4 linked regions of the Drosophila melanogaster genome follow. The protein of the gene in region 1 interacts with the protein of each later gene in a pairwise test. Each region holds a gene or a part of one and is shown on either strand. Other genes may lie near its edges.

Evidence for each region.
Region 2: the proteins of Zif (region 1) and TM9SF2 interact in a two-hybrid assay, tested with the Drosophila melanogaster proteins (one large-scale study listed by BioGRID).
Region 3: the proteins of Zif (region 1) and CG9890 interact in a two-hybrid assay, tested with the Drosophila melanogaster proteins (one large-scale study listed by BioGRID).
Region 4: the proteins of Zif (region 1) and achi interact in a two-hybrid assay, tested with the Drosophila melanogaster proteins (one large-scale study listed by BioGRID).

Annotation. Positions count from the first base shown.
Region 1 is NT_033777.3:6,454,274-6,461,295, reverse strand, and holds Zif (Zinc-finger protein), read right to left. Parts: upstream 4,209-7,022; 5' UTR 4,140-4,208; exon of another isoform or gene 4,080-4,139; 5' UTR 4,010-4,079; coding exon 3,866-4,009; intron 3,804-3,865; coding exon 3,187-3,803; intron 3,130-3,186; coding exon 2,995-3,129; intron 2,894-2,994; coding exon 2,623-2,893; 3' UTR 2,474-2,622; downstream 1-2,473. Other genes in the region: CG9727 (uncharacterized protein), read left to right, coding at 5,275-6,038, 6,102-6,344, 6,557-6,992.
Region 2 is NT_033779.5:20,728,065-20,737,121, reverse strand, and holds TM9SF2 (transmembrane 9 superfamily protein member 2), read left to right. Parts: upstream 1-2,812; 5' UTR 2,813-3,058; coding exon 3,059-3,196; intron 3,197-4,105; coding exon 4,106-4,300; intron 4,301-4,361; coding exon 4,362-5,344; intron 5,345-5,398; coding exon 5,399-5,558; intron 5,559-5,618; coding exon 5,619-6,122; 3' UTR 6,123-6,706; downstream 6,707-9,057. Other genes in the region: Fs(2)Ket (female sterile (2) ketel), read right to left, coding at 1-704, 778-1,019, 1,692-1,749; CarT (carcinine transporter), read left to right, coding at 6,870-6,962, 7,021-7,245, 7,457-7,639, 7,788-8,046, 8,102-8,693, 8,756-9,057.
Region 3 is NT_033778.4:23,060,994-23,067,434, reverse strand, and holds CG9890 (uncharacterized protein), read left to right. Parts: upstream 1-3,174; 5' UTR 3,175-3,213; coding exon 3,214-3,460; intron 3,461-3,514; coding exon 3,515-4,626; 3' UTR 4,627-4,688; downstream 4,689-6,441. Other genes in the region: PPO3 (prophenoloxidase 3), read right to left, coding at 368-598, 661-1,398, 1,460-1,555, 1,620-2,606; DCTN3-p24 (dynactin 3, p24 subunit), read left to right, coding at 4,925-5,503; Fatp2 (fatty acid transport protein 2), read right to left, coding at 6,178-6,441. UniProt on the Drosophila melanogaster protein: DNA binding protein which is involved in the positive regulation of both basal and inducible transcription.
Region 4 is NT_033778.4:12,509,696-12,518,339, forward strand, and holds achi (achintya), read right to left. Parts: upstream 5,368-8,644; 5' UTR 5,081-5,367; intron 4,704-5,080; exon of another isoform or gene 4,649-4,703; intron 4,567-4,648; 5' UTR 4,550-4,566; coding exon 4,435-4,549; intron 4,367-4,434; coding exon 3,873-4,366; intron 3,814-3,872; coding exon 3,665-3,813; intron 3,565-3,664; coding exon 3,178-3,564; intron 3,089-3,177; coding exon 2,987-3,088; intron 2,928-2,986; coding exon 2,806-2,927; intron 2,740-2,805; coding exon 2,560-2,739; intron 2,495-2,559; coding exon 2,376-2,494; 3' UTR 1,839-2,375; downstream 1-1,838. Other genes in the region: vis (vismay), read right to left, coding at 1-24, 171-571, 630-744; CG13151 (uncharacterized protein), read left to right, coding at 5,749-7,563; CG8818 (uncharacterized protein), read right to left, coding at 7,709-7,893, 7,946-8,079, 8,142-8,644.

The sequences.
Region 1 (7,022 bases):
TTTTTAATCGGATAAAAATGGCTTCAACTTGCAGCGAAAGCCAATATATATCCACCATACTGCATACTAAAACTTTTAAAATTGTAATAGAATAATTTAAAAATGTAGGATTAAACTTAGGTTTAGTGTTTTGTGTAAAGGGTTTCTTGACAGTCTCAAAAGTGTGTAAACTTGGAATTTGTTGTTTATTTTCTTTATTTAAAATTTTTTTTTTTTATTTATAAGTAAAATAAATATTGTTTAATTATATTTAATAAAGAAATTGCGTTTTATTAATCAAAGAACTCTTAATTTGTACCTTTAAAGTCAAAAATTCAACTTATTTCCCAGTGTGTAAACAGTTTCTTGACAAACTGTACATTTTTTGTCTTTGCATGTTCCGTTTGTTTTTAGAAGAGAGATCGCGCTCGAGAGATTCGGAAGAGCGTCGGCTGTGCAGCCGCTCTGCTGGCGTGGCCGATGATTTTACGATGTTTTTTTCGTAGCGATTAAATGGAACTTCTGGGTAATTACAGCTAATCTTCAAATCGAATATATTTCATTGTGTAATTTACCAATGGAATAAAACGATGTCGCCTTCTCACCTCCATCCTCGTTCTTTGGCGGATGCTTCGACTATGAGCAACTAATTTCCTCGGATGAGGCAACCGCAAATGGAAGAGCATCCTGTTGCACATGCATTAACCATGGCATCACGACATTATGCTAACTTACACACACACTCAGTGCTGCACCGCATACGAGAATGTCCATACATATGTACATACATACTATGCACATATACAGGCACAGGGAGCTCATCAAGTCTTCCGGTTTGTCGAGGATGTTCACATTGTTTATGCTCCGGAATAAATGAATATAAAGCATTTAGTTTACAGCTGCCATTTGACAAGCACTGCCCCAGTTTTGAACGAGTGGGCTGAATGGGGCTGGAATTGGGTGTTCTTGGTTTTGCATCTTCTTTAAATAAAATACATGAATTATGCAGAATTTTCGATGGGAGCGGGCGAAAGTGACTGTGGAAAAGGGACGAGTCGCTCCGAGACGAAATCCCAACTTCCTCCTTAGCCACTTGGCATTGACACAAAAACTGGAAAACCAAATTATACAATTTAAAAACATACTGTCATTTTGTACTTCTTATGAATTGTTATCTTATCTCTGTGATTTTTTTGGAATCAGGCATAACTCTTTGGCAAAGTATGCTTTTGAAATGCTTACAATAGTTTGTCAACCGGTCAGGCAGTTTCTTAAATTATTTGTTAATACTTTTGCTTTTACTTAAGCCTTAGCTTAACGCACAAAGTTCTTCGACTTTTCACCTGCTTCGTAAGCAAGAAGTCGTTGGGATTTTCCAACGCGGAATTTGCAATTCAGCTCGTAAACTTGCTGATTTGTTTGCCACAAAAAAGGTGGCGGGACTTGCGTGATGAGTCAAGTCCCGACTTTCCCACTCGATTTCCACAAATGCAAAGTCAGGGCCAGGTCAAGGACGGAGGTGAGCTCCTGAAAAGGGTTTTTTTTTTTTTTGGCTGGTGCGGGGGAAATAAATTTGCAATTGATAGCCTGGACTGGCTCGTAATCAGTTTAAAAGGGCCGAATCTCAATTTGGCAATTGAGTTTGGATGGCTGCGGCTGTGGCTCGACGTTCACACCCATAATCCAATCGTTTGAAGCGCTTTTATGGATTCGACATGTCAAATCGCGTGCAAATTTGTTAGAATTGGTTTTCCCAAGCTTCCACATTCCGCAATCTCGCCACTAGGAAAAATATCATAGCAGCTTCAAAAGGAAAAATATTGGATACCATTTTGAATTTTAGAAATTTGTCATGATTATAAATATCACAGAAAATAAGTTTTAAACTCCTTTTCTAAACCAAATTTTGGAATAAATAATATGACTAGCGCCTTGGTTACCTATTTTGAATTATTGTACCCAGCTTTGCTTGCAGTGTATCACCACCCGTAATCAAATACAAAGCCCCAGGGGCCGAAAGGCTTTACCAGTCCATAAGAACATTTTTTGTTTCCGCTAAAATGATGATATGATACACGGGGGAGTTCAAAAAAGGAGACAAGCGGCCAATGAAAAAAAAAAACGCATTCAAGTCATGTAATTTCGGAACTTCCTTTGATATTGTACATTTGTTGGTGCTTTGCATGCGCTAGGTGCAAATTGGGTTTTTTCCAATTTCATTTTATATACCCACGGCGTCATGAAGCCACCCATATTTATTGCATAATTTTCAGCATAGCTTCCCGCGCACACACATTGCGAACATTGATTGTGGAAATAACTACGGCCAGTTGTGACTTTTACCAACTAGCGTACAACTAGATTGCCAGATTTTCTCGGGCGTGTTACATTTCAAATTGTATTGTATTGTATTGTATGTATTCAAATTATCAAATAAATTAATTTTATGAACCAAATTCCACATGCTGCTAAAACATCACATACGTTTGATATTCTATTTTTAACAAAAATAACCTTTATTTACGTATGAAGTTCATTCTTACAACTATGAATACGCTATCCGTTAGCGTTTAAGCTAGTATTACTGATTATAAGGGATTATATCTGGAAATAAGACAGTATACTCTACTGAATTTGATTGCGTCAGTGAGCTTGAATTCGGATCTCGTTCCCGCCCCCCTGCTCGGCCACCATTTCCACCTTCATGCTCTCGGCCAGCATTACGGCGTTCTGGTGCAGTTTGGTCTCCTCGTGCTGGCGCATGTGATGCAGCAGACGGAAGTCCTTGTTGCAATAATCGCAGCGGTACAGTTTGATGTCCGAGTGGATGAGCTCGTGCTTGGTCAGGGAGTGAGCGTAGGCAAACGCTTTGTCGCACACCTTGCACACGTAGGGCTTGATGCCACGGTGAACACTGATCGGAAAAAGAAAAGTTAGTTATCTCTGTCCCGAACTAGGAATATATTTAAATGGCCCATTTTGAGGCCTCTCCGTGAGAATAACATTTCTACTCACTTTTCATGAGACTTGAGAACACTTTCGTAGAAGAATTGACGACTGCAGAAGCTGCACTTATAGGGTTTGCTGCCCGTGTGGGAGTACATGTGCTTCCTCAGTTGCTCGCGCACCTGGAACTTGGCATCGCATAGTCTGTGAAGGCGGGATTAGGGTTATCGCTTTAATATGAAATTTACCGACTCGACTTACTCGCATGCATATTGGCAGATGCCGTCATGGCGTCTGCGATGCTCCATCATCCGGCCGCGCTTTTCGTAAAAGTTTCCGCAGACGTCGCAGATATAGCCACCCTTCTCAGTGCCGTCCGATGTTGTTAGGGAGTTTAATCCGCGACGAACCCGGCCGCGCCGCGCCTTCAGGCTTGCCTTGGCCGCCTCCTGCAGCGCCAACTGCTGCGATGGTGTCTCTTCGTACTGCTTCTCAGACTCCAGGACGATCTCGGTCTGATCGGAGTTCATCTCGATGGTGTAGTTGTCCTCCAAGTACTCGATGGTGTCGCCAATGCACTCCTGCTGATCGCTGGTGTCCACTTCCAAGTACTCCTCGTGCCCCTTTTCTTCCTGGTGCTCCTCTTCCCCGGTGGTGGTCTCCTCCAGGATGTACATCTCCTCGTCGCATTGCTGCTGCGAGCCGTCCTCCTCCTTGATCATCATCACATCTGATTCGTCCAGCAAGCCCAGTTCCCGGCAGTACTCCTCAATCTCCATCTGCTTGCGCAGCGCCTTCTCGCGAAACTGGTAGGCCATGTTGAGTTCGACCTTGCAGGACTTGCAGATGCCATCGGGTATGTGTTCTCTGTCGTTCAGCTGCATGAGGGATGGATGGATGAATGGTCAGTTCGCATTGCCAGCTCTAGCGATTCACTTACATTGCTGTATGAGACTCCCAAAAGTTGAATCAACATCTCGTTCGGCGATTCCTCGCCTTCCTCGCGGATCTCGTCTAGGCGCTGCAGTCGCTCACTCTGCGCCAGGCAGACCCGGCACGTCTGTGGGGTAAGCTCGACGCGCATTCTGGAATCCTGCTCGAAATTTAATTTAAAGAACCGCTCGCGTAGTATTGTAGTGTTAAAATTTGTGTTGCTAAAGTGTTGTGTAAAGCGACTGAAAAAAGAAACGAAAAGACATCGCCATTTTCCTTACCAGGGCTGCATAGCATCGGCGAACACGATGTGGTTCATTTTGCTGGTTCCGGGAAGCGGATTTTTGGTTAAATATCTGATAAACATGTTTGCTGCTTGTGACAATACATTGGAAATATTTGTTCCTTTAACCATGGCTAAACGATATGATATGATAACTGAAAGTATTCCCCAGTGTGCCTATAAACACAAACAACTTGTAAAATGAGAAAGAAAATATTAATACTTCAAATATTCAAATATTATGAAAACAATTATATATATATTTATATATTTCTTTCATATTTACGTATATTTAGATAGAGTAAAGAATTCAATCATAAAAATACCAACGTCTTACATTAAATATTATTTAAAAAAAGGCCTAATGCGCTTAAATTTGCCTTATCAATAGAAAATATTATGTCCAATACTGACAATACATCTCACCAAAGATTTAATTTAGCTAGGAACCAGTTCTCTATGGCTCATTTTTTTGACCAGTGGCGATAACGATGACAGCAAGATCACTAAAAGACTAGCGTTGCATGTTTATCATATACAAGCTAACATTGCGTAAGGTGAATCTGCAAATTATATACAAATTATTAGTAATTTACTCATTTATTTATGCGAAATCGCAAATACAACACCGTGTTTACATCCGAAAGCTCTGGCAAAAAAAGCACATTTCTTAATGCAGCCGTCTGGCAACGCCACATATTTTTCGAGACGCAGAACGCAAGATATTTTCTTATCTCTCGTTAAAAAATGGATTATTTCGGTTCAATCGGTGCGTATCTGGGAAAATCGCATGCTCGTTGGCAGTAAAGAACGCCACGCACTTTCACGTCCCACGCCCAGCGCACTCCCGCCTGACGGGAAAATGGGAAAGCAACTATATCTGGCATCCGTATCTTCGTCCGTCGCAGCCGTCAAAATGTTCGTCGCGCCAGTTATCGACTCGGCAATCTCCATCTCCTAAGGCACACACACACTCAATAGAACGCAGTCCAGCACTCACACAGGCAGCCACCTACGTAACCTGGCAGCGGAAGCGCCCTTAATCTTGGCCAGAAACCACAGCAGGCAGAAAACAACGAGGGAGCAGCAGCAGGCGGAGGGAAACGGAGGCGCCGCTAGCACTAGCACCTAACATGTCCGAGAAGCACGGCCAGCTGGGTGCGCAGTGGACGAAATCAGCGGCGCCAGCAGCAACAACAGCACCAGTCTCCAATTCCATTCCCATACCTCAACCGATCCCTGTGGCACTACCCCTCCAGAAACCCAACGCCAATCCCTATGGGAACTGCAGCCTACAGCCCGCGGATATAGTCTACAGCGCAACCAGATTTCAAGGACCTGCTATCCATGCAAAGGGCTCTCCTTTGACCATTACGCCCGTGGGCCCTGTCGGCGGAGCACCTGCCTCTGCCCAGATCTCGCCCACGAGTCACACCCATGTACCTGTACCTGTAGCCACGCCCAGCGGCTTTGTGCCGCCTCCGTTTTCCAATGCCACCAGCGCCAGTGGAGGTGTCTCCACTTCCGTACTTACTCCGAATCCCTTTGCCACGGCGAGTGCAAATGCTGCTGGCCTGGCCTTTGCCAATGCCTTCAGCTTTAGCACAGCCCAGCAACTGGGTCTGGGCAAGATCATGCACGCTATGGGCGGAGCTACTGCGGGAGTGCCATCGGCGCCAGTACCAGTCACCACGACTCCAGCGACAGCTGCTCCTTCGACCCCAACAATAGCTGGTCCACGGCATCCGAACGAGGGCGTTCCAGCGGCCAGTGGAGTGATAAACTCCACCATTGCTGAAAACGTAATGAATGCTTTGAGCAACTCCAACTCAGCGGGATCAGTTCCCAGTGAGGAGAAGATGAGAAGGGTGCTGCAGGTGATTGAGACCAGCTTGGAGTAAGTGTTGTTTGAAGAATCCTATGTTTATCCTTGCTAATTTGTGTGCGTCTTCCCGTTCAGCGACAATGCGAAGCTGCAGATTTCACAGATTCTAGAGCGTGTCTCGGGACTAAAGCCCATTGAGAAGCTATTCCTCTATCTTCGTTTGCCTGGCGAATGCGCAGACACCGATCCGTTGAGGCAGCCACAAAATCCACTAGGAACGCGCTCGGAGATTAACCATACCATTAATTGGGTGCGTTCCCATCTGGAGCACGATGCACAGGTCTCCATACCAAAACAGGATGTGTACAATGATTACATGTGAGTTCTTTTCATTCTTATTCAAAGCATTATTGAAACTAAGACGGTAACAGTGAAAATGTATTTCATTCATTTTTCGCTTGAGAAGTCTAAATATGTATTGTATATACAAAAATGCTGCAAATCAGTTGAATAATCATACTATTACTAGCATTTTTTTTTTAGCATAGCCCTAAAATTAATAATTGGTTTATTTCACCATTCATTTATAGAGCTTATTGCGAACGCCTCAGCATCAAACCTCTGTCCACAGCAGACTTCGGCAAGGTGATGAAGCAGGTATTTCCGGGCGTTCGTCCTCGGAGATTAGGGACGCGTGGAAACTCTCGCTATTGTTATGCGGCAATGCGGAAAACCACCAAGCTGACGCCCCCGCAACTGCCGCAGCTGTGCAAGACGGAGCAGATCGTAGCGGGTGATTCCAATTCGGACCCGAGTCAGCTAACTAGTGCCTCCAGTTTGGGTGGCTTACCATCGACAGGAGGTGACTCTGAGTGCTGGGATGTGGTGCGCAGTTGGGCAGAAAAATTGCTAAACACTAAGCTAGAGAGCGTTGCGGATCTAAGCTCCCGTATCAAGAGCAACAATGCAACAGTTTCTACAAAAAAATACACTCCTCGGGAGCCCAAGGAAAAGCGAGTTTTAGCAGTAAGTATTAAAATATTCCCTAATTAGAGA
Region 2 (9,057 bases), on another chromosome or scaffold:
TTCTCGACGAGCACAGGCGTCAGGAACTGCAGAGCACCTCGAGCATAGTGCTTGGACACTCTCTGCGGAGCGCGGCCCTGATCAGTGGCCTCCTGGCTTTCGATGGCCAGATCTATCTCCTCATCGCAGACGTTCGACCAGAACTCTATGCCCTGCAGCGCTACAGCATCGTTATCAGACTTCATGGCCGCCAAAGTAATAGGGAAAAGAGCCTGTGCCATGTAGGGCTCCATGTACTGGTAATAAAGGGTCATAATCTTCACCAGGCACTGCAGAGCGGCAACGCAGATTTGCGAGTCCTGGCACTGAGTGGCCTCGCACACCACCTCCATGATGAAGTTGCGCTCCATGTCTTTCTCAAAGTTCGATTTGGTGAACTCCAACGAGTTGTGAAGGGCCGTGGTGGCCGCCAAGCGTACATGATTGCTCGGCTCTACCTTTCTCATGCCGTGAATAATAGCAGTCAGCACATCGTTCGACTGGTTCTCCATGACGCCGAAACGAATGTCCTGGCAAATGTAGCCAATGGCCTCCAGCGCCGACTCGCGATGCATCTCGCTGGATCCTTCGCTGACCACCTTGTTCACCAGTGTCTGGATGAGCATGGGCCAGCGGTTTATCGGCAGCTCAATCACGGCCACATAGGCCACGCACTGGGCGGCGCAGGAGGGTCGGGTGTTCTCGGTACCCAAAGCAGCCAGGATCTGAAAGTAAGTCGCAGTTATTCAGTGCCAATTGTACAAGTCATATGTTTCAACATCAGCGTATGTAACTTACGTTATTCTTGATCAACTCGCGGATCTCGCTGGGAAACTGATGCCAGCGATCCTGGTACTGTTGGCTGACCTTCTCGTCCTTGCTGGTCAGGTGGTTCTTCAGCTGGAGACCGGCTGCCATTCGCGCCACCGCACTGTTGGCCGTGTTCACCAGTATCTCTGACAGCGCCTTGAGAAACTCGGGCAGGTTGCTGGCCGCCGCCTGCTCCAGAAAGTTCTTCGCCGATAGCAGCTCATTTTTGTCTGAAAATGCGTCATTTGGTTGGTTAGACATTTTTAATTTCCAATTATGTCAACGAAAGATTTTATTTGTGGGCCTACACACGCCCACCATTTTGGGTCGGCTTAAAGCTTTGGTATCAGGCCATTGAATTTTACAACAATTGACTTTTGGGAATGTGAAGGCAAGATAGGAACTTTTAGGCAAGGCGTATATAGTGAGAATATTGTTTAATAAGAATACAATAGATGGTGAAAGAAGTGTGTGCATATGAAGAGCTAAGCAGTAAGGTCTAGTAATGAATTGTAGCGGTGGAGCATAAAATCTTCAGGCAAGGGGCAAGTTTGCAGGCATTCCTTATCAGCAACCGGAAGAACTGGCCGCCAAGCATACGGTGGTGACTCCGAAGCGACGCCTCATCGATTCCTAGAGTTAGTGAGGTTATGTCGCAGGCGGTTCGTACATCCTTAATTGTAGGAGCGCAAGCATTGCGAATACATACAGACGCGCCGCCAAGTTTCCCTTGGAGTATGTACGTGGATGCACATGTGTGCGGAGGCCCCTAGCAACCAAACATATGCGAGCGCCTATTGCAACCCTGCGCAACATATAACGCGCGTCCCTCCCGCCAATCGAAGAAAAATCCATATTTTTCGGATCTATACACACACGTTTGTAGCAGTGGGGAAACTCACCTGGCGACACCGTCTTTTCCAAAATGGCAATCAATTGCATGGCGATATCGGAAGTCATGTCTTCGCTCTTTTCCTCTCTATATGATTTCTACTTCACTTTCCGTTTCTTTCTGCAGCTCGTGCGTCTGTGTGGGTGATGGAATTTTTGCGTAATTACTAGACAACACTAGTCTGTCGGCTGCAAATGGTGGAGACAAAAGAGTTAAAGTTATTGGGCTGCTCCGCTGAAGCTGGCGATTTTATTTCGACAGGTTGCAACACCTTGATTGTCAAAAGAATTGATTTTTTCGCACACACGCACACAACAAGCGCGTTCAGTAGAACTCTTCATTCTACTCACATTGTTGTTTGGTTATTTTTCGGGAACGGTAAAAAAGCGCGGGATTCCTAACGGCGATTTTCTTAGTTATTATTATAAGCCTATTTAATGGTGGCAGAACCTTTATCTGCTCTTCGGGAAGTGCAGGCAATATATTTCTTGTGTCTCCGATTTGAAATAGAGCTGAAACGAATGTCGATTTTTATTTGATAGCACTGAGTTTCGATGAAAAAGGCGACACCTATTCGATTGCTTTATTCGAACTATCGATAATTTTTAAATCTAATAACGTATTAATTAAATATTCTTAAATGCGTAGGAAATGTGCAACCATTTGACAAAATATATTATTAGTCAGGAACGATAAGACCAAAATACTTACTACTTGTATTAAAACGCGTTTGCCTCCCCAAAAATCAATCGTTAAATTTGAATGATTGTGCTTATCGAAAATTTTCATATTCAAAGATAAGCACGGAAGCAAAACCTCGAACGAACTAAATAATCGAATACTTTGACTTAAGAGTCGTAGGTAAAAAACTAACAAATGAACAAAATTTGATTACTATATTAAGAAACAGTGGATAAAAATAGTAATATCTTAGAAGTATCACACGTATACGTGTGTATATTGGTTGCATTCGCTTACTGAACAGGGGAATTAATTAATTTAAATATAAAAGTTTATTAAGTCTACCAAATTTCGTTTTGCACGTAATAATAATAAGAGCTAAAGGTTTTCGCGGTAATATTTAGCTTTGCAAATGCTGGTAGTTTTTTTGTCAGCCAGTTGGCAGCCCTCTCAGCTGTACTAGGTGGCAACGCTGCTACAGTGCTGACGTTCGGCAAAAAAGAGGAAACGTAGTAAAAACACTCGAAAAACTCCGTATATTCCGATAAATATCCAGATAGTACGGTTTGTGCGTGGCCCGCCGATCCGGAAAGTGTGGCAGAGAATCGCGGACACGGCCACGTTGTGATTACAACCCGTACAAGTAAAGGAAGAAGGTCTGCTACTCCTGCCGTTCGTTGGTTACCCCAATTCGAGATGATCCTGCTATCCGGACTTCTGCCGCTCCTGGGCGTCGTTCTCTTGCACCTTGCGACCCCGACACAGGCCTTCTATCTGCCCGGACTGGCACCGGTCAATTTCTGCAAGAAAACCGACGTCTCATCCACATGCAAGGTAGGTGTATACGTATGTGCAGAAGTGCAGATGTACATATGTACGTAGATAGTGGGTGTGTTTGCCCCACGCCCGCCACAATTAGCAAAGGCACTGGAACTAGTTATGTACATTGGTTCTATATTCCTCTAATGGTGGTCACAGGCGGAAGCACTGATAAGCGCAGTAACTAGTTATATGTGGGGTCCATATGTGGCCCTCTATCTCAACTTCTGCTGACGTTGCCTACGCCAGCTCTCTTTCCTAGCGACAGCTAGATGGGAGTTCTAATGTTGGTTCAGCTGGCTCGCGAATGCGATTTCGGGGGCTCCCGACCTTAAGAATCTTAACATAGTGGCGGCTAACCAATAATTGAACCAGGGAACGCGGTTAGCTTGTCATGCTTCCTTGCATTATGTTTGGGTTATTTTCTTTTTAGTAATAATAGTATAACACAATAACAATATAAATTCAGGACAAAGTATAATTTTTAGTTTGATATCCCAAATAGATGGGGTTAGCCCTTTTAAAAGATGACCTAACTATTGGATGATAAAGCGTGAGCTATTGGTTTTGTTTGCTTCATCTTATCTTTAAACAAATCTAAACAACTTTTTAATATACCCGTAGGTCAAGAAATCCTAATCGGTTTATACGCCCTTAAATTAGACGTTGCCCAATGATAAGAATTAATTAAGGTGTTTCACATTCAATTGTTTCTAACAATCTAAGAGAGCTTTTTGATAAGATAAATTTCTAAGAACCCAAAGTAAAAGCAAATTACGGGGTCAAATTATCGAACGCATTTGCAAACTTTTGGAATTTTTACCAAACTTTAATAATTATTTCCACGATAAGATTAAAATACACTAGTATTATCAACAGTTGTCAATCCAATTGATTGATCTAATTCCTGATTATCTTCTTCAGTCGGAAATCTTGTTGTACGTCAACCGCTTAAACACTGAGGAATCCGTAATACCCTATGAGTACCATCACTTCGACTTTTGTTTGGGCGAGGAGCAGAACTCACCGGTGGAGAATCTGGGACAGGTTGTGTTCGGAGAGCGAATTCGTCCAGGACCCTATAAAATTCAGTTCTTGGAAAACCAGCAATGTGCGACCGTAAGATTAAACAGTTTTAACGCATTACCAACATAATGATTTAATGACTCTTCGTATTTAGACCTGTGTCAAGACTTACAAAGGAGACGATCCGGCTAGCAACCGTCGTATGATGGTTCTTAAGAAAGGAATCAGCTTGAACTACCAACATCATTGGATTGTGGACAACATGCCGGTTACATGGTGCTACCCACTGGAGAACGGCAAGCAATACTGCGGAATTGGTTTTCCCATGGGTTGTCTAGTTCGCAGTGATGGCGAGGGTTGTCCCATCAACTCTATATATAACCAGCCAATGCATTATTATCCATTCAACCATGTGGATCTCGAGATTACTTATCACAGTGGACAGTCGGAGGACTGGGGAATTCAGTTCGGCAACAGTGGACGCATAATCTCTGTAAAAGTGACTCCCAAATCTATTAAGCACACCGATAAGGAAAACCCCAATTGCTTGAGCACAGAGCCACTGGCAATCAGTGAGAACTCTTTAAAGGCTGGAGAACAGCTGGAAATTGTCTACACGTACAGCGTGAAGTTTGTAAAGAACGATTCTATCAAATGGTCATCACGTTGGGACTACATTTTGGAATCCATGCCGCACACGAATATCCAGTGGTTCTCCATTCTCAACTCCCTGGTTATTGTCCTTTTCCTGAGTGGCATGGTGGCAATGATAATGCTGCGTACGTTGCACAAAGATATAGCCCGCTATAATCAGATGGATAGCGGTGAGGATGCCCAGGAGGAGTTTGGCTGGAAACTGGTACATGGTGATGTGTTCAGGCCGCCGCGGAAGGGCATGCTGTTGTCGGTATTCCTGGGTTCGGGTGTACAGGTGCTTGTGATGGCCATGATCACCTTAGCATTTGCCTGCCTGGGATTCTTGTCCCCAGCCAATCGGGGAGCCCTGATGACCTGTTCCATGGTCTTGTTTGTTTCGTTGGGTACACCGGCTGGTTACGTGTCTGCGCGTATCTACAAGAGTTTCGGTGGGCTGAAATGGAAGAGTAATGTCATCCTTACCTCGATCGTTTGCCCTGGGTAAGTTCTTTGAAATTAAAGCGATATTATTATTTAATCGTTTTTCTTTTTTAGTGTGGTCTTCTCATTGTTCTTCGTCATGAACCTGGTGCTGTGGGGGGAAAATAGCTCCGGAGCTGTGCCATTTAGCACGCTAATTGCTCTGCTTGCCTTGTGGTTTGGCGTCTCTGTGCCACTAACCTTTGTAGGAGCTTACTTTGGATTCCGCAAGCGCGTGAGTATATATTTAGCTAGTTTTTAAAATGGTTCCTTACATTTGTCTGTACGATTTCAGGCATTGGAGCACCCTGTGCGTACCAACCAGATTCCCCGTCAGATTCCGGACCAATCGATCTACACACAGCCTATTCCTGGAATCGTTATGGGCGGCGTTCTACCCTTTGGCTGCATCTTCATTCAGCTGTTCTTTATCCTGAGCTCGCTGTGGTCCAGCCAGATTTACTACATGTTCGGTTTTCTGTTCCTGGTCTTTGTCATATTGGTCATCACATGCTCGGAGACCACCATTCTGCTGTGCTACTTTCACTTGTGTGCGGAGGACTATCACTGGTGGTGGCGCTCCTTCCTGACGTCCGGCTTCACAGCAGTCTATCTGTTCATATACTGCTGCCACTACTTCGTCACAAAGCTTTCGATCAAGGACAGTGCCTCGACGTTCCTGTATTTCGGCTACACGGCCATTATGGTATTCCTGTTCTTCTTGCTGACCGGCACCATCGGGTTCTTCGCGTGCTTTTGGTTCATACGTAAGATCTACAGTGTTGTCAAGGTGGATTAAACCGCATAATTCAAGAAGGAGCTCGTGCGAATGTATTTTTGTATGTGTAGCCACAAATTTACACTTAAGCCTAATGTGTGTGTGATTTCTGCGCTGTGCGCCCGGCACAGACAGTTTTCTGTTTACTATAATTACGATTGATATGTGTATAATAACATATGTTTGTATCAGGCAAGGAACAGTGGAGTAACGAAGCGCGCAATAATTTTTAAGCAGTAAACAGCGAACGAGTTGGAGTTAAAACGACTTGAAGCATCTTTTGTATAGCTCTTCGTTCTGTTAATCTTTAGGCGTAAAATTTAGCATTGTCCATTTCCCAGCTCTAGCAACGATTCCAAGAAAAGAAGAAATTATCAAGAAAAAAAAAACTAAAATCCCTTTAAATGTACTGAGCTGCATAACGAAGTACTTTAAACCCCGTTCTCTACTTGTAATATCAAAGCCTAACAACTGTAATTAGTGGCTCGTCTTAGCCGTAATTCGAGCAGGATTGAATTCACGTGTAATATTTTAAATACTTTAGTTTAAACTATTTAAATCTAACTTGCGACTAAAGAATAAACAAAAATATAAATTACGAATCGAGCCCACTGCGACAAACTTTTTACTATCAACAGAACCAGCTCATTCTTTCAACCCTAGACAACTGACAGTTGTCAGTGGTTGCTTCTATGGCTTCCGTGAGCTGAGCCAATCGGGCAGTGTGAGTAAACATTTCCAGCTCAGAGCTTGTCTAGAGGCGCATCCATGTCAGATATTGAGGACAACGATGGGGACGAATACGATGAACTTTCGGAGCTGCGACAACGCCACAAGCCCGAATCCCAGCCCTCGGTGGATGTGCATATCTGTGAGACACGGTCCTTGATCTTCTCTAGATTTGCTGTTTTCTTTCCAGGAGGCCTTCGATCTGGACGACCTTCTGCCCACCATTGGCGAATTCGGCAAATACCAGAAGCTCTTGGTTTTCGGAATTTGCCTGCCCGCCTGCATACCGTGCGGTTTTTGTGCGTTTAACCAGTTGTTTATGGCTGATACTCCGGATGACTATTGGTGTCGCATCCCGGAGCTACTCGACTTGCCCCTGGAGCAGCGAAAATCGCTGTCCATACCCAAGGAACTGGTGAGTAATTGCAGCCATACGAGTGCCGAGGCTAAGGCAATCAAGTCAGCCCATTGATTGTGCGTTGCTTAAGGTGAAGGGTCGATACGAGGGTGGTTCGATGAGTAATCGAAGGGGCTAACAATGAAATGGGGGAGAGGTAAACCTTATATTCTATGCCTTCTATTATTTAAATATATTTTGAAATAACTGATGAAATAATTATTTCAAGGATAACGACGAACTGGTCTACAGCAAATGTTATACCTACGGAGTCAACTGGACGCAGCTCCTTGAATCGGGGGAAGAGGATGACCTGACGACCATGGAGCCGAATGCCAGTTGGCCACTGATCAAGTGCCCCCAGGGATGGGAGTACAACACAAGCGTCGTCTGGTCCTCCATTGTGATTGATGTGCGCAATCCAGACCACCAAGCCTTCATTTGAAACTACAACGTCATTCATGTAGGAGTTGCTCGAATCATTTCCCAAGCATCAGTACTACCTTTACCTAGGAGCGAAGGATTGGCTTACTATAAACCATTAAATCCTCCTATTTCAGTTCGATCTAGTGTGCGATCAGGATATTTATCCTACGATTGGATTGGCTGCTCTTAATACTGGCGGTCCAGTGGGAGTCTATCTTTTCGGATTACTCAATGATCGTGGTGGACGAAGGCTCTCCTATTTCGTCTGTTTGGCCACTTTGCTGGCTGGCAGCCTAATGACTTCGCTGAGCAAGGATTTTTGGACTTGGGCCGGCAGTCGAGTCATCGTAGGACTGACCATTCCAGCTGTCTACCAGATACCATTTATAATATGTGGGTATTTCATTGTTGCTTCTAACTTTAACCATTAACTTTTCTGCGTCTGCAGCTCTGGAACTGGTGGGTGAAAACTATCGATCCTTCGTGACTGTGATGACGTGCACCTTTTACACTTCGGGCATCATGCTCCTGTCCGGCGTCACTTATCTGGAGCGGGATTGGGTGCGCCTCTCCTACATCACATCCCTGCCGTTTTACGCCTATTTCCTGTACATGTTCGTCATGCCGGAATCACCGAGATGGCTTTTGATGCGCGGTCGCCTGGAGGAGGCTCTCAAGATTCTGGAGCGCATGGCAAAGGTCAATGGCAGAGAGTTTCCCGAGGCTGTGCATCTCAAGCTGGAGGCTCAGATACGACGGGATAAGCTCAAGAAGCAAAAGAAAAAGATGGCCAATGTGGGGCTAGCAGATCTCTGTCGCACCCCCAATATGCGCTTAAAGACCATCCTAATCACGCTGAGTTGGTTTGCCAATGAGACGGTTTATCTGGGACTCAGTTATTACGGACCAGCGCTGGGCACCAATCAGTATGTCAGCTTCTTTCTGTCGGCTGTTGTGGAGCTGCCGAGCTATTTGTGCTGCTGGTACTTCATGGATACCTGGGGCAGAAGATGGCCATTGAGCTTATCAATGATATTGGGGTAGGTGTTTGACCCATCATCTTGTGTTTTTTGTGTAAAATTCGAAGTCCAACATTTTTCAGTGGCGTGGCCTGTGTGATCACTGTAATGTTGCCCGATGATGCCGTGGATGAGACCCTTGTGCTGTATCTAGTATCCAAAGCCTTGCTATCCGCCTCCTTCCTGATCATATACCCCTTTGCCGGGGAACTTTATCCCACTCAGGTTCGGGGTATCGGCATTGGTGCTTCCAGTTATATTGGAGGATTGGGTCTCATTGGCATACCTTTTATTACCTACTTGGGAAAGGACAATCTTAAACTGCCCTTGGTCATCATGGGCTTCCTTTCGATGCTGGGCGGCATGACGGGATTGCGGCTGCCGG
Region 3 (6,441 bases), on another chromosome or scaffold:
AGATTCTGGGCTCGAATCTTGCTCCCAGGCGGTGCGTGTGTGCGTGAGTGTCTGTGCGGCGTATCTGTGTGCAACATCGATGATATTTTAATTGGCCAGCAGCTGAATCGGTGGCCGTAACACTTACGCTAACGTCGAGCTCCCGTGTTTCGATTTTTGTTTGCAAATAAATTCAATTCCGCCCCCAACCGCAGCACAGTGTGACCGTTCGCGGGGAGTTCCAACGGTAAACTGGTATTTTGGCATCTGATAGTATTTCATTAATTTATTTGGTATTTTCTACACAGCGAGAAAGCTATAGACCGTTATTAGTGGCTTCTCTTTAAGCCAAAAAATGAAACTGGCCATAACAAGATGCTTCTCTTATTCAGGAGCGAGCTGGTACCTCGCGAAGCTTCTCGGTGCGGTCCTCGTGGGTAATGATGACCTCCACGGCGCACATGTTGGGCGTCAGGAAGTTCTCCAGGATCTCGGAGCCTCGACGCGGCTTGCGATCGAAGGGGAAGCCCATGGACTTGCGATCCGGATAGAGGCGATCGCGCAGGCCGCAGTAGGAAGCGGCGATGCTGCAGCCGCAATCTGCGACCGTCTGGTCAACCTGCACAAGGAAAGAGGATTGGGATCAGGAGGCATTCGCAGTATACTCTAAAGACACCTTACCTTATCCTCTTCGTAGTTGGAAACCATGACGAAGAGCTCGAAGCGCAGACCCTCGGGCCGACCCTTCGGAATCAGCATGTGCTGGGGCCAACCGCAGCCGCACAAGAAGTTCTGCAGCTCCTCCAGCTTGTCCAGGTTGCGGAAGGTGCGCTCGAACGGAATGGTGACACTCGACTCCGTGGAGTTCCGGGTGATCGTATGGCTGCCGGGAGGCATGGTAACCACGAACTTGTCCAGCTCCACCATCATCAGGCGCTGTTGCTCCAGCAGCATGGGTGCATTGCGATCATCCAGCTTGGGCGCCAGGAAGATGCGCACGTAGCCATACCGCGTGGCCTCGCTGGAGTTCTCCACCTTGATGGTGTAGCTGAATTCGTGGTGCTGCAGATGGGTGAACCGAGCGAGGACATGGCCGCGCGGCACAAAATCAAGGCCACGGGACATGTCCACATCGGACTCCTGCCAGAAGGTGGTCAGCCTGTTGACCTGACCCTGGCTCTCCACCTGGATGCTCTCGACGCGAACGTCCGGAAAGCTGAGCTCTTGCTTCTCATAGGGAGAAAGCAGACGTTTGTGCTCCTGGAACATATTGTCGATGAAGGCGTGCCACTTGTAGAAGATCGGATCGCGCATCGCGGTGGAGGCGTCGCCCATCACGCCCGCGTACTCCAGGTGCTTGTTGGTCGGATCGTGTGAGTAGGCAATCAGTATGTGCCCCATGTTGTGGAAGTCGCCGTACTGCAGATGGAAATAATATACATGGAAAGGTGATCTACAGATTATCACTTAGATTCCTTACCAGCGTACTGTTGGGCGTCAGATCGGAAGCCTCGATGATGTTGCCCAGGATGTCGATGCCCTTAGCGTCATCCAGCACGATCTTTTCATTGTTCGTCTAAAAAATAACCAATTAGTTGTTGGATGCATGTACTCCTGGAATCGGAGAGCTCCCCACTCACATCCAAAACGTAGCCCTGATGGATGGCCTCGTAGATGCGTTCGCGCCAGCGCTTCATATCATCGATGCCAACCCTCAACTGGTTGTTAGGCCGGTCCACATCGCTCAGCCGGGTGTTATCGAAGCGCGGAGGATACGCCCTACTGGCCACCAGCGAGTCCATCTTGGGGAAGTAGCCCTCGGCAATTGGTTCGTCCAGGTTGTTGAACGGCTGCACCCGGGCCATGTGGTTGCTCAGCCGCTCGGCATTGTAGCGGGCAATGATCTGCTGGTGCATATAGTAGAACAGCTCGCCACGACGGTCCTTGTCCACGATGCTGCGGTCGGGCGCCTCTATGGGATAGACCAGATGCCAGTGCCAGTGGTGCAGGTTGACGCCCAGGTCCTCGCGGAAGTACCACAGCCGGTGCTCCACATCGAGATCGGAGGCGGTGTACTTGACCGAACTGACGACGGGCAGGCGGGCGGCGGAGCGCTCCACCACAAAGGACTCCTCGCGCATGCTGCGAAGCATCTTCGAGTCGATAAAGCGATCCGGGAAGGTCTGCGCAAAGGCGGGCAGTTCGAGGTCCTTGGTGTCCGGACGGTGGAGCAGGGCCACCGACAAGGCGTAGTTGAAGAGCACCGGATTGACGCGATCCCTGGCGTACACCGCCACGCTCTGCAGCTCATCCACGGTCTGCATTTTGGTGAAGATCTCGATCAGGTGGCTGGCCATCTTGCGGTGGGACTTCAGGAAGATCGAGAACTGCTCCGAGCGGCCCAGTCTCATGGAGCAACTGAGATCCGGTATGGCGATCTCCTTGACTTGAACGTTCTTCTCGGACGCGCTGCTCACGCGCCGCTGGACCTTCTTGCACATCTGATTGTAGCGATCGGTCACGTAGGAGTCGGGCACGTCGAAGACGGTGCCATTGCCACCCTTGTCCATGAACACGGGCTCCGTGGGATGATCGAACAGAAGGAGCAGATTCTTCTTGTCGGCCATTTTCGATGGATTCGCGATTAGGAGGACCTTTAGCGAGCAGTTGCTGATTCTCAACTGCACGTCCCCACCCAACTATCAGCTCCTTTTATACCCAGCAGCCGAAATGCCCTATGGTTACATGGCGAACATCTCAAGTTCGTCAACCCCAAAAAACAATCTAAAATATTACTAACTTAAGAATTTTTAACTATTGCCATAGTATAAGCATTGAATCACAGAGTTCCGAAAAAAACATTTTTAACCGATAAGATGCTGCTGATTCATCATAGTCTGTTGAAAACTTAACGAACAATGTATTTGTAAGTTTCAGAATTTTAATTCACAGATAAGTTACAAATATTTGAATCGTATAATATCCTATAAGGATATTAACATTTCCAGTACGTGTTGTCTACATCGAAAATACTGAATATCATTTTTTGATTATTTAGTCTTCATAAGACAGTTGTAAGTATTTATTTAATTTTTTTTGTGCATTAAATTAAATTCATTAAATTTTCAATTGTTTCCAGTGTACGTCATAATTAAGCTTATCTCGCAAACAGTATTTTGCCGCTAAGCACCTGCGGTCACACTTATTCGTGGAGCACCAGGAGAACGTAAACAAATGGAGCACGAGGTGGCTGTTTCAGGAGGGGATTCCTCGCTGGAGGAGATCACTGGCAGTTCGAAACTCAAGCCCTCCAAGAACACGGCCATCAAGTGCCTGAAATGCGACAAGGTGTACATATTTCCGTCAGATAAAGATGACTGCCTGGCGCATTTGTATATGGAGCACCGACTGGTCATCGCCGATGTGGAGGATATAGCGCTTCTGGAGGACTACCTCCAGTACTGGGAAAAGGAGTTTCACAGTGAGAGAATCAGCAACCCTACCCTGAAAATTTAATAATTGTTACCCATTTTAGCCCACGAATTCGAGCAATATTGCACCACAATGTTCCTGGATCAGCTGCCCGATGGCAAGTACGCCAAGAACGAAAAGTACTACCTGCTGTGTGACATCCTGCCCCAGGACTACGAGCTGCGGCGAAGGTTGAAGGAGAAGCGCCTAAGTGAAGCCCTGGAGCGACATCAGTTCGAGCTAACCGACCGCACCTTCTCCAAGGAGTGCCTTTTCTGCAGGGCCATCATCAAGGGATTGAGGGCGGACTATCTGGACCATCTGTTTGACAAGCACTTTCTGTTGGTCGGCAAGCCCGAGAAGCTGGTGTATGTGGACGAACTGCTGGATCACCTGGAGGAGAACTTGAATCGGTTAATGTGCCTCTACTGCGAGAAGATCTTCAGGGATCGGCCCACGCTCAAGGAACACATGCGCAAGAAGGGCCACAAGCGGATCAATCCGAACCGAAGGGAGTACGACAAGTACTTCCTTATCAACTACAATCGTGTACCAACGGCCCCCACGCCCCGGAAACAGCACCTCCAAAAGCGAAGACGGGAAACGGCATCCGTGTCCACAGTTGCTGATCCTGAAACCGGCAGCGTGGACTTCGACAAGCACTTCGCTCGCCCTGATTCGGATGGCGAACACGATTCGGACTGGTCGGATTGGGCGGCAGATGGTGAGCCTAGCTCCATTAAGTGCCTGTTTTGCCACCATCTCGGCGACAACTTCACCGCCCTCAAGAAGCACATGCACGAGGTTCATCGCTTGGATTTCGAGAAGGCCACCAGCTCTCTGAACTTCTACCAACGCGTCAAGGTGGTCAACTACCTGCGCCGCCAAATGTGCCTGCTGCGCTGCGTGACCTGCGATCTGCAGTTCGACGAGGAGGAGCTGCTCGTGGAGCACATGGCACAAGAGTCGCACCACGGAATCGGCGATAAGGAGAGCTGGGACAAGCCCGAGTTCTTCTTCCCGTACATCGAGAACGATGGTCTGCTGTGTGTGCTGGATGATTCCGGAGGCGATGACCCGGACGTCGATACGGTGCGCATCATCTCCGAGGATAGTCTGGCGCAGATCAACAAGGATGCGGAGCGGTTGTCCCTCGAGAATTTTAAGCTGTTGTAACTGAGATTTTTGTATTGTACAGTTTACGTTTAAAAGAAACTAAGTAAATAGCAATGGAATTTAAGTGTGTACTATATTTATAGATACGTATGCACCAAAAACTTTATGCAGAGGAGCTAAATATTTTATTTAAATACCATATTTTTTAGTCCGCATAAGGGTTAATTCGTTCTGCTTAGCGAGTACAAGAACCTTGCCACCAAGCTAACGTTGCCACCTTTTCGTTGGACATCGATTGTTTTGCAGACTGACATCATTCCCATCAAAACGAACAAAATAAAGAGAAATTCAGCGAAAAATGGAGGCACTGGACATTCTGGAGAAGCGCATCGATGCCCTGACACGAGTCCTGGGTCCGGTCCAGGACTCTGAGGTGGGCGAGGGCGTGGTCGACGCCCTGTGCTCGGCACACGCCATCCTGGGCGAAGCAACCACAGGAAGTGCTGCACTGCAGCAGTGCGTGAAGAGATCTGACGAGCTGGAGAAGTACCTGGACCCCAACTTCCTGGAGGAGCACCAGCAGGTGCGCTCCAAGGAGGTGTACCTGCAAGCCGTGGCCCCCGAGCTGCACACGCAGGCCGAGCAGCTGGAGAGGATTAAGCAGCTGGAACCGGCCCTGGGCGCGGAGTACTTCCGCAGCATTCCCGCCGAGTGTCTGGAGCAGCTAAAGGGCATAACGCAGAACAACGGGGAGTACGCGCAGCAGAGCGAACTTATCGAGGAGAGTCTGGTCCTGGCCATGAAGCGATATGGCGAGATCCAGGCGGGACTGCTGAGCTCCCTGGATGCCATGAGCGAGCGCTTGGACCAGGTAGAGGAGCGCATGGAGCAGAGGAAGCGTGCAGAGTTGAGCAAGGATGTGCCGCCCAAGGATTGAGCGGATATAGATCCAAAGACTGCTGAAAGTATTTTATACGACCCCGTTTCCAAATCCGTTCACCTGAAAATCTGGTTCCACTTAAGCTGAAGGCATCAGTTGCTCAAGCAATGGATGTAACCTAGGTTCTATTGAAAAGTGTAATCGTAGCTAAAGCCATCCCGATTTGATTGGAACTGTTTAAGGAAGCCGGGATATTAGATTTTCTAACTACTCCAACGTAAAGTGGCTAATGATGCTCTTTCAATTGTAAGTTTCATTTTTAAAAACTATTTAACTAAGCACAATAAACTAAATTACAAATCTAATGAAAACCAATCAAAATCCTGTCTTACAGAAGGAAAATGCTATAATCACATAATAGAGCACAATATGGATTTATCATTGGCTGAATTTTATTTTTATTATCTATACAATGTATACAATACGATGTGACACTTATGTATGTAGGAATTGTAGAAGGAAATAGTTACAAAATAATAATTTACCCGCGGAAACGCTCTTTCAACAGTAAATTTCCAATGCTAAAGTTTATATTGTCCGGACAATAAGAAACTTAGCCAGAATTAAAAGTAGTTGGCGCACCACAAGCCGAATCCAAAGGATATCCTCTTCACCAACATACAAGGCACAGTCTTGACTTTTCTTCTTCCCAAGAACAAAGTCCGGCGCTCCTAGAATCGCAGCTCGTTTCTAACTATCCTCTCGTATACGGATGGGGTGAGTGGAGCATACACGCCATCCGGTTGGGCGTAGAAGAGTTCATCGTCGATGATCTCCGGATTGAAGCCCTGCTGCTGAAGCTCCACCTTGCGCAACTTGAAGGTGCCCGTCAGGTCGATTTTGCGCAGGAATCTGAGAAACTGCGGCCTGGCGTAGTTGGGCAGGGATTTGGCCAGTTCCACGCCCAGCTGGCTGACGTTGACCTCCCGAGTGGG
Region 4 (8,644 bases), on another chromosome or scaffold:
CACCTCCTCTGTAGCGCCAACGACCTGGAGTCAAGCAATTTAGTAACTTCAGTGGTATAATGATTGACCAGAAGATAACACACCACTTCGGAAGCAGGACTTCCGTGTGCGGGATTCGGCCCAGTCAAGTTTGCGCCCAACGCACTTGATCTCGAACAGTTGGGGCTAACCTTTTTGCCACGTCGCGATATGGTGAAGTGCAGAGGATCGTTGCCCTCGCGCCTGATCATCTCGGGTAGAATGCGGCGACGGGCATTGATGAACCAGTTGCACACTTGGAGCACCGTCAGATTGGCCTCCTGGGACAGGGTGAACTTCTCCGCATCGCTCGGATAGGCGTTATAGCGGTGCTCATAAAGCCAACGCTTTAAAATCTTTACAGATGACTTGGGCAGATTTCCGCGACGTTTGCGCAGCGACCCATTAATGTCGACGTGGTGTTCACTGTCCACCATCATGTCGTGGTAGTTTTGCACCTGGTTGGCGCCTTGTTCGGTGCTCAGATCATTCCCAACGACGGCGTGAAGGGAATCCTGGTCCAAACTGGAGTCCGAGTGGAAACGGTCACGTCCTGGAGAAAAAAACGGCCATAAACAAGACTGATCTCAACCGGGATATAGGAAACTCACCCTCGTTGTTCAGCAGGCTCGCATGGACATGAGCCTCGTGCATCAGGTCCTTTATGTTCTGCCGTACATGGCGATCCAGGACCATGTTGACCTCCTCTTGTTCCGGCGAGATCATTGCAGCTCAGACTTAAGCTTCAGAAAACAGAAAATTCATTAAAACACAACCAGAATCGGTGTGCAAATATTGAAAGGAAAAGCACAGTAACTTTAATTACAATTTTTGCAAACAGAGAAAATTGACACTTTTTAGTTTCTTTAGGTGTTGTCACCACAGACTTTGAGATTCAACTAACTTTTCCCGAGGGCAGGCAAGTCATTCAGACACCAAAGTCATGGCCAACTAGGGTTCAAAAACAAATTTTTTCAATTGATTTTTAAAAATGGTTCTTTTCAATCGGTCTGCTTGTATCGAACGTATTAAAGTAAGTAATTAAGTACAGGAGAATTTTATAAATATTTAAAATTAATTAAGTTAGGGCCAACTATCGATAACTATCGCACAAACATTGCGCTTGCACACGAGAGACCATGAATATTTAGACAAATTCACTGCGCGCCCAAGTAACGGGCGTCTCGAAATGTACTTTTTACCTTATCCAAAATTTATAAAAATTTTGATTTGTAAAATTTAGACAAGCGCATTTATTTGGTCAAATGTAATATCATTTTGATTTCAGAAGATTTGTATGTTGGAGGTGCGATCGTCACTTGTTATACCCGTTACTCGTAGAGTAAAAAGGTATACTAGATTCGTTATAAAGTATGTAATAGCAGAGGGAAGCTTCTCCGACCATATAAAACACATATATTCTTGATCAGGATCAATACCCGAGTCGACCTGTCCGTCCGTCCGTCTGACTGTCCGTTCGTATGAAGTCAGGAACTATCACAAGTTTGTGGACCTATTTTGCCACGTCCACTCCAACGCTTTCAAACCGTACAAAATGCCACTCCCACACTTTTGAAAAATGAAAACTTTTTGCCACGCCCACTGTAACGCCCTAAAACAGCGCAAAACTCACGCCCTCATTTTTGAAAATTTTTGGATATTTCTTTTTTCCGAATTATCTATCAATACCCCAGAAAAATTATGAAATTTCTTGTTCACATTTTCACATATATGTACCGGGTATCTGATAGCCGGGGAACTCGAATATATCATTCTTTTTTTTTGTTCTATAGCTTTATAGTTAAAAATCGAATCATTTTGTTTTTGCGCCACTCTTTATTATCTGTGGTAACCAAAGTATTCCAATACATTTATAATATTTATAACAAAATTAATTTTGTCCTTCCACAAACGTTCTCATTTTATGTATGTATGTGTACATAATTACTAGATACCTTAAAAAAATGGCTCTATCAGCCAATTAGATAAAACACACCATCATTTTATGGCAATGTGTATTTCAAATGCTTGTTTATGTTTTATTTAAGTATCAGTAGTGTACATGTTAAGTTTAAAAGAGTCAGGTCCAAAACTAAGTCGATTTGTTTGTGAATTGACTTTGTGGAAAAAGGTATTTGGGCGGTCGCATTGCGAATTGATCTATAGCTTTGTACGTTATGTTAGTAACCTACTCAATTAACACAATAACATGGGGGTTATAGACAAATTTTTGGGTCTAGTGCTGTTCGATTAAATTACTTAAGTATATATATATATCTATATATACATATTTGTATATACACGCTTCGGCACTTTGGGAAGTCGGGATCTGTAGCGTGGGTATTTGGTTTGAGGCTCTAGTCTCCCATGTAAACGAAATCGTCATCCTGGACGTCATCGTTTTGGCGCACAGCCATGGCAGTTTCCACTAGATAATAGAGACACTTGTACTTGGCACGCTCATCTGGACTTGTGCCTAAAGCAAGATTATAAAATAATTAAAAATTCAATATAAAGTTGATAAAAATAGGTATAGGTTACCCTGCGACATAGCAGATAATTGACTCTGGCCAGCTTCTGCTTCGGCACCGGTAAACACCTCGTCCGCCTGTAGATTGTCACCAATGTCCTGTTGATTGGAGTTGGTAGGATCGATTGTCTGGATTTCTGAGGCCTGTATTCTATTCAGCTCGCTTTCAAAGTCAGTCAACTGTTGATTCACTTTAGGAGTAAAAGAGTTGGATATTACCAAAGAAACCGAGCTCTAAGTCTGCAAACTTCACTCACCGTCACGCTTCGCAGTCTGATTGCGATTCCAGATGGCGGTATTCTGAACAGATCCCTTAGAACCAGAGGTACCTGGATTATTGCCAGCCGAAGTGCTGACTTCCTCAGTACCAAATACAGTTCTGGAATTGCAGAGGCCGAGATTACAATATTTTCTTAATACATCCACATAGCTACTTACTTTATAACGCTCTGCCAATCATGGGAGGTCTCGAAGCGTACTTCCTCCTCGCTGTTCGGCCCACAGGACTCGTATCCCTGTGCACTCTCTTCGCCTTCGGACCTGGGGGTAAAAGTAAAATCTTAGCACCGCCACTCGCACTTGAGTAAGATTTAAGGCTCTGGATCAGTCAATGGGAGCAGAAGCTGTACCTAGGAGACACCACGATTCCGCCGTATGAATCCTTATAGCAGTACATGGTTTCTTGCTTATTCCCAGTCTTCTGCTTTGCTTGCTTGGCATTCTCCCTAGGACTCTTTGCAGCAACCGTCCGCGTTCTTACGCGCTTCGGAGGTCTTGGCTTTTCTTCGTCATCGAACTCTGGCGGCAGCTGGCCAAAAAGGCTGTATGGCAGTATTGATGTGGCAGGACTGGAGTTGGAGCTCGACCCACCAGCACCACCAGAGCCAACCGCCGAACCCCCAATGGCGGCAGCCTTGCGCATCTGATAGTTTTTAATTTTATCGATCATGGTTGCTTGAAGCGAGGAGTGAAGACTTTGAAAGCCCATCGGGTTGTTTGCAATGGCCTGCTGCCAGCTTGGAAGAGGAAAAGGAGTTTGGACATAGGTGGGATGGGATAGGAGATAGAAGTGACTAACGCTAGGGAAGCAGGTCATAAAGACCGGTTACCAGTTACCTGTAGATGACACTGTCCTCGTACTCCGGCTCCATCTTGACCATTTGTCCGTTGGGGCCCTGCACATACTGTTCAAAGTTGGTCAGCACATTGGCGATGCCCTCGTGAATCTCACCGGCGCCATCCACCTCCTCTGTAGCGCCAACGACCTGGAGTCAAGCAATTTAGTAACTTCAGTGGTATAATGATTGACCAGAAGATAACACACCACTTCGGAAGCAGGACTTCCGTGTGCGGGATTCGGCCCAGTCAAGTTTGCGCCCAACGCACTTGATCTCGAACAGTTGGGGCTAACCTTTTTGCCACGTCGCGATATGGTGAAGTGCAGAGGATCGTTGCCCTCGCGCCTGATCATCTCCGGTAGAATGCGGCGACGGGCATTGATGAACCAGTTGCACACTTGGAGCACCGTCAGATTGGCCTCCTGGGACAGGGTGAACTTCTCCGCATCGCTCGGATAGGCGTTATAGCGGTGCTCATAAAGCCAACGCTTTAAAATCTTTACAGAGGTCTTGGGAAGATTTCCACGACGTTTGCGCAGCGACCCATTTATGTCGATGTGGTGTTCACTGTCCACCATCATGTCGTGGTAGTTTTGCACCTGGTTGGCGCCGTGTTCGGTGCTCTGATCCTCCTCCACGATGACGTCAGCGTGAAGAGAATCCTGGTCCAAACTTGAGTCCGAGTGGAAACGGCCGCGTCCTGCAGATGACATGCAAAAAAAACGGGCATGAACAAGACCGAACTCGACCGAAATATAGCAAACTCACCTTCGTTCTCCAGCAGGCTCGCCTGGACATGAGCCTCGTGCATCATGTCCTGGATATTCTGCCGTACATGGCGATCCAGGACCATGTTGACCTCTTCTTGTTCCGGCGAGATCATTGCAGCTCAGACTTAAGCTTCAGAAAACAGAAAATTCATTAAAACACAACCAGAAACGGTATGCAAATATTGAAAGGAAAAGAACAGAACTTTAATTACAATTTTTTTTTTTTTACAAACAGAGAAACCTGTCACTTTTTAGTTTCTTTAGGTGTTGTCACCACAGACTTTGAGATTCAACTAACTTTTTCTGAGGGCAGGCGTCATTCAGACACCAAAGTCATGGCCAACTAAGGTTCAAATACGCATTTCAAATCGATTTTTGATTTCTTTCCAATCGGTCTACTTGCTAAATCGATTAATTTCCAAGGAACTATACATTAAACGAACGTATTACAGTAGTGAATTAAGTAAAGAAGAAATTTAAAAATATTTAAAACAAATTAAGTTGGGGCTATCTATCGATAACTATCGCACTGGCACACGAGAGACCATGACATATAACATGTCAAATTGACACTTTAACCAAAATATTTTGACAAATTCACTGCGCGCCCAAATAACGGGCGTCTTGAGCTCCCGGGGATTCACCTGCGATGTCCGAATGGGTGCCACTATCATTTATTTACACTAAACACTGGTTTTCCCAGTGTTTCAGCCAGGCCCCGGTTACTGCACTCAGCAAACTGTAGTGACGGGGCAGTCGTCACAACCGTAGTATCGAGGCCAATTAGACAAACTCTTTTTGCAGACAACGTAAATATAGTAACGAACGTTGGGGAAAGCTATTTTGGCACTGGTTTTAAAGCGTTTTATTCCTTTTCCTTGCTGCGTGCCAAACAACAAATTAGTGGCGAAAGAAATCCGATAGCCGCTTATGTGCGATAAATCATGGATGGGGGTCCACTGGGGAGTTAGTTCAGTTGGCAGGTTCATTTGAAATTTGAACAGTGGCGCCAAGAATAAATACAAGTTTTGTTAAGTATAATTTGTTTAAGAATTATAAACATACACTAGTTATCTCTACGCTGGAAATTAAATCTACATTTAAAATAAATAAGTTATATTTAGAATGTACATAATTTTTTCTAAATAGAACAAACTATTTTTTTTATAAGTTTTCAACCTTTCAAGCTTAAGATTTATGTTTTAAATGTCTTTTTCGATAACTATATAAATTATCGATATGTATAGACGTTACTGTCCTAACCTATCGACGACTGAAAAGGTTTGTTTTGTTGCAAGTTTATAAACAAACAATGGAATGCGTGCTGGACGAGGAGCTGCTGGCCAATATTAAATGTAGCGACCAGGAGGAAGAAGACGAGGATGGTGAAAAGATGGAGGTGGAGGAGCGGCTGCCGCCGGTCGATTCCACAGTCCAAAGTGCCTCCTTTAACGGAGATGACTCCGATCCGCTACAGGAAGCAGTATGCAATTTTCCCTGGATTTTCGAGGACAGCGACATGCTGATGAACGAGGACCAACTGGCTGACGTGGTGCTGAAGAAGGAGGATTCCGCCAGGCCAGCTGCCCCGAAGCGAGGACGTGGTCGTCCACCAAATAATAACGGAAACTACACATCTCCTTGTGGGCAGCTATGGAGCGTGACCAGGAGCCCAGATATTTCTGCAGAGGATCTACCCCTTTTGGGGCAACAGGCCTGTGGCAAGGGACCCGCCCGAACAGTGTCCAATGCAGTGGAAGCATGGATGCTGCTCTTCGATGATGAAATGCTGCGGTCTTTACTTCGCCATATCAATGAACAGATGCGTAAGCGGAGAACGGCCACAAGTGTCCAGAGACCCCTAGACGTTGTGGAGCTGCGGGCATTCTTGGGTCTAAGCTACCTTTGTGGAGTGTTCCGAAATGCCAGGCACAATGGGCCATTGGATGAGCTGTGGACCCTGGAGCTGGGCAATGCCATATTCCGAGCATCCATGTCGCTCGCTCGATTCGAAAGCATTTCCGAGTGTCTGGCGGGAAATTGCGGCTGGTCCGAGGGCCAAAAGCTCTGGCAGCGCCTTATAATCAATTGCAGATCCTACTACGGCTGCAGCAGTTGGTTGACCGTGGATGAGACATTCTGCGCGGTGGCCAAGTCACGGATGACCCTCTGCTGTGATGCCAGGACACTGTACATGGCCAATGCAGTGGTAAGCAGAAACCAGAGATGTCCGGACAAGGATGTAGAACAACTGATCTGCGATTTCAAGACCACGGGAAGAAATGTAACGCTGGGATCACGGTATCTAAACTTGACGCAGTGCGAGCAGTTGGCGCAGCGGCAAATAAGCTCGTTGGGTAAGCTGGAGGCCAATTCGCCACATTGGCCGCGGCAGTGGCCCACAGAATCACCCTTGTTTGGTGGCAGCTCAAAACTCATTCCGCTCGATGGCGACGCAGTCTTCTGCTGCGGTCTTAGCTCCCAAGTAGATGCAGTCCAGGCATATGAGCAAACCTCAGAAGCCTGTCAGCAGTTTTACGAACACTCCCAGCGCTTCAGCACAGCCCACGCTACGCCCGCACCCTTGAAAAAGCAGATCAATCCTTTTCTGCAACTACTTCACTTTGTGCTCAACGCGGCTGCCGTGAATGCATGGATCCTGTTACGACTTTCGCCCAAAGGCGATGCCGCTATGGATCAGCGCGACTTCCAGAGACAGTTGGGACTCTTCCTCACACAGCAGAGATTACAGCGACGCCTTCAGCGAAGATCCACCAGCACTTCGCTCGTGATGCGACTGCAAATCTGCGAAATCCTGGGCCAATCCAGTCAGCGGCTGCTCAGTGAGGCGACCGGCGAGGCGAAACTAACGCACAGCGTAGGCGTGCTAACACCCGACAAGATGAGCCTGCCCTTGGGCATTAATTTGGCTAGTCGGTACGGAGAGAAGCATCGCAGGTGCAAGCCCTGCGCTCGAAATAAGCGTGGCACTAAATCGCGGACGCGGTGCCAACAGTGCTTGCAACATCGATGCGGCAACCACTTGATATCCCGCTGCTACGAATGCGTCGGCATTTTGCCTGGCCAACTGCCCGAGGGCAACATGGTGGATGAAGGAGCCACCTGAAGATGGATATTAAATAACATTTATTGAAGAGACACTACATTCCTTGTGGGGGCTTGCAATATGGGGATGCTTGCAATATTGCTCAATGGTGCAAACACTTGTGCTGTAACTACGATGACAACGGCTTAACGATGGAAACTGGGGACTAGAACTTGTACTGGAAGGACTTGGGTGCCTTGTACTTGCTGGCCATTCCCGAAGAGTCCACAGGATCGCTCTGGTCGAGGAACAGACTGAGGAACTGTTCGTTCTGCAGCTCATTTAGCGGCATCTCTAATTCACTGCAGGATTTGACAATCTCAGCGCAGGCTCGCAGATCCTTGCGCATATCTAAAAACGAAACGGGAGTTACATAATATTCGGTTGTGTTGCACAGACTCACATTGATAGTTAAAGAGCAAGCTGAGGCAGCTGGAGCAGGCCAAACGCTGCTGGTGCTGCAAGAACGCCTCGATTAGCCGATGCACCGCATCAACATTGTTACGGGCCAGAAATGAAGAGCACAAAGAACTGGCTCTGCAAGGAAGGTTACATTGGGATTCAAATTTCGGGTTTTTAAAGAAATTAAAGCGACTTACCTCCTCTCCACTAGCTCTTGCAGCTCCTTGTAGTGCTCAAACAGTTCCGAAGCCGATTTTTGATCGCAAAACCAATCGCTAGCGAAGCATTGCTTCCACACACAGGCCACCACAAAGATGTCCTTGTGCTCGCGGTGAATGGCACGCGCTACCTCCAGCAGCGACACTAGCACCGCCTCACTCTTCTGGGCCAGAGTCTCCTCGGAAATGGTGCGGAATGCGGAGCGCGCCATCCGCCTGCCCTCCTCCGAAGTCATGCTTACCCCGTAACCGCGATGTAGCGTCATCAGGGCCACGTCGGCGTTACCATTGTTCCACAGGGCGATGGCGCGGAAGGGCGCCAGATCCGCGTAGGTCTGTGAGAACGGGTGCTCCAGCTGCCGACAGGTCTCCGCCAGTGCCTCCAACTGCTGGAGCTTGCGCTGCGCGCTCAAATACTTTAGACAGGACACGAAGACCTCGTTGGAGGGCAACAGGTTGCAGCGGATGCACTGACGTATCAG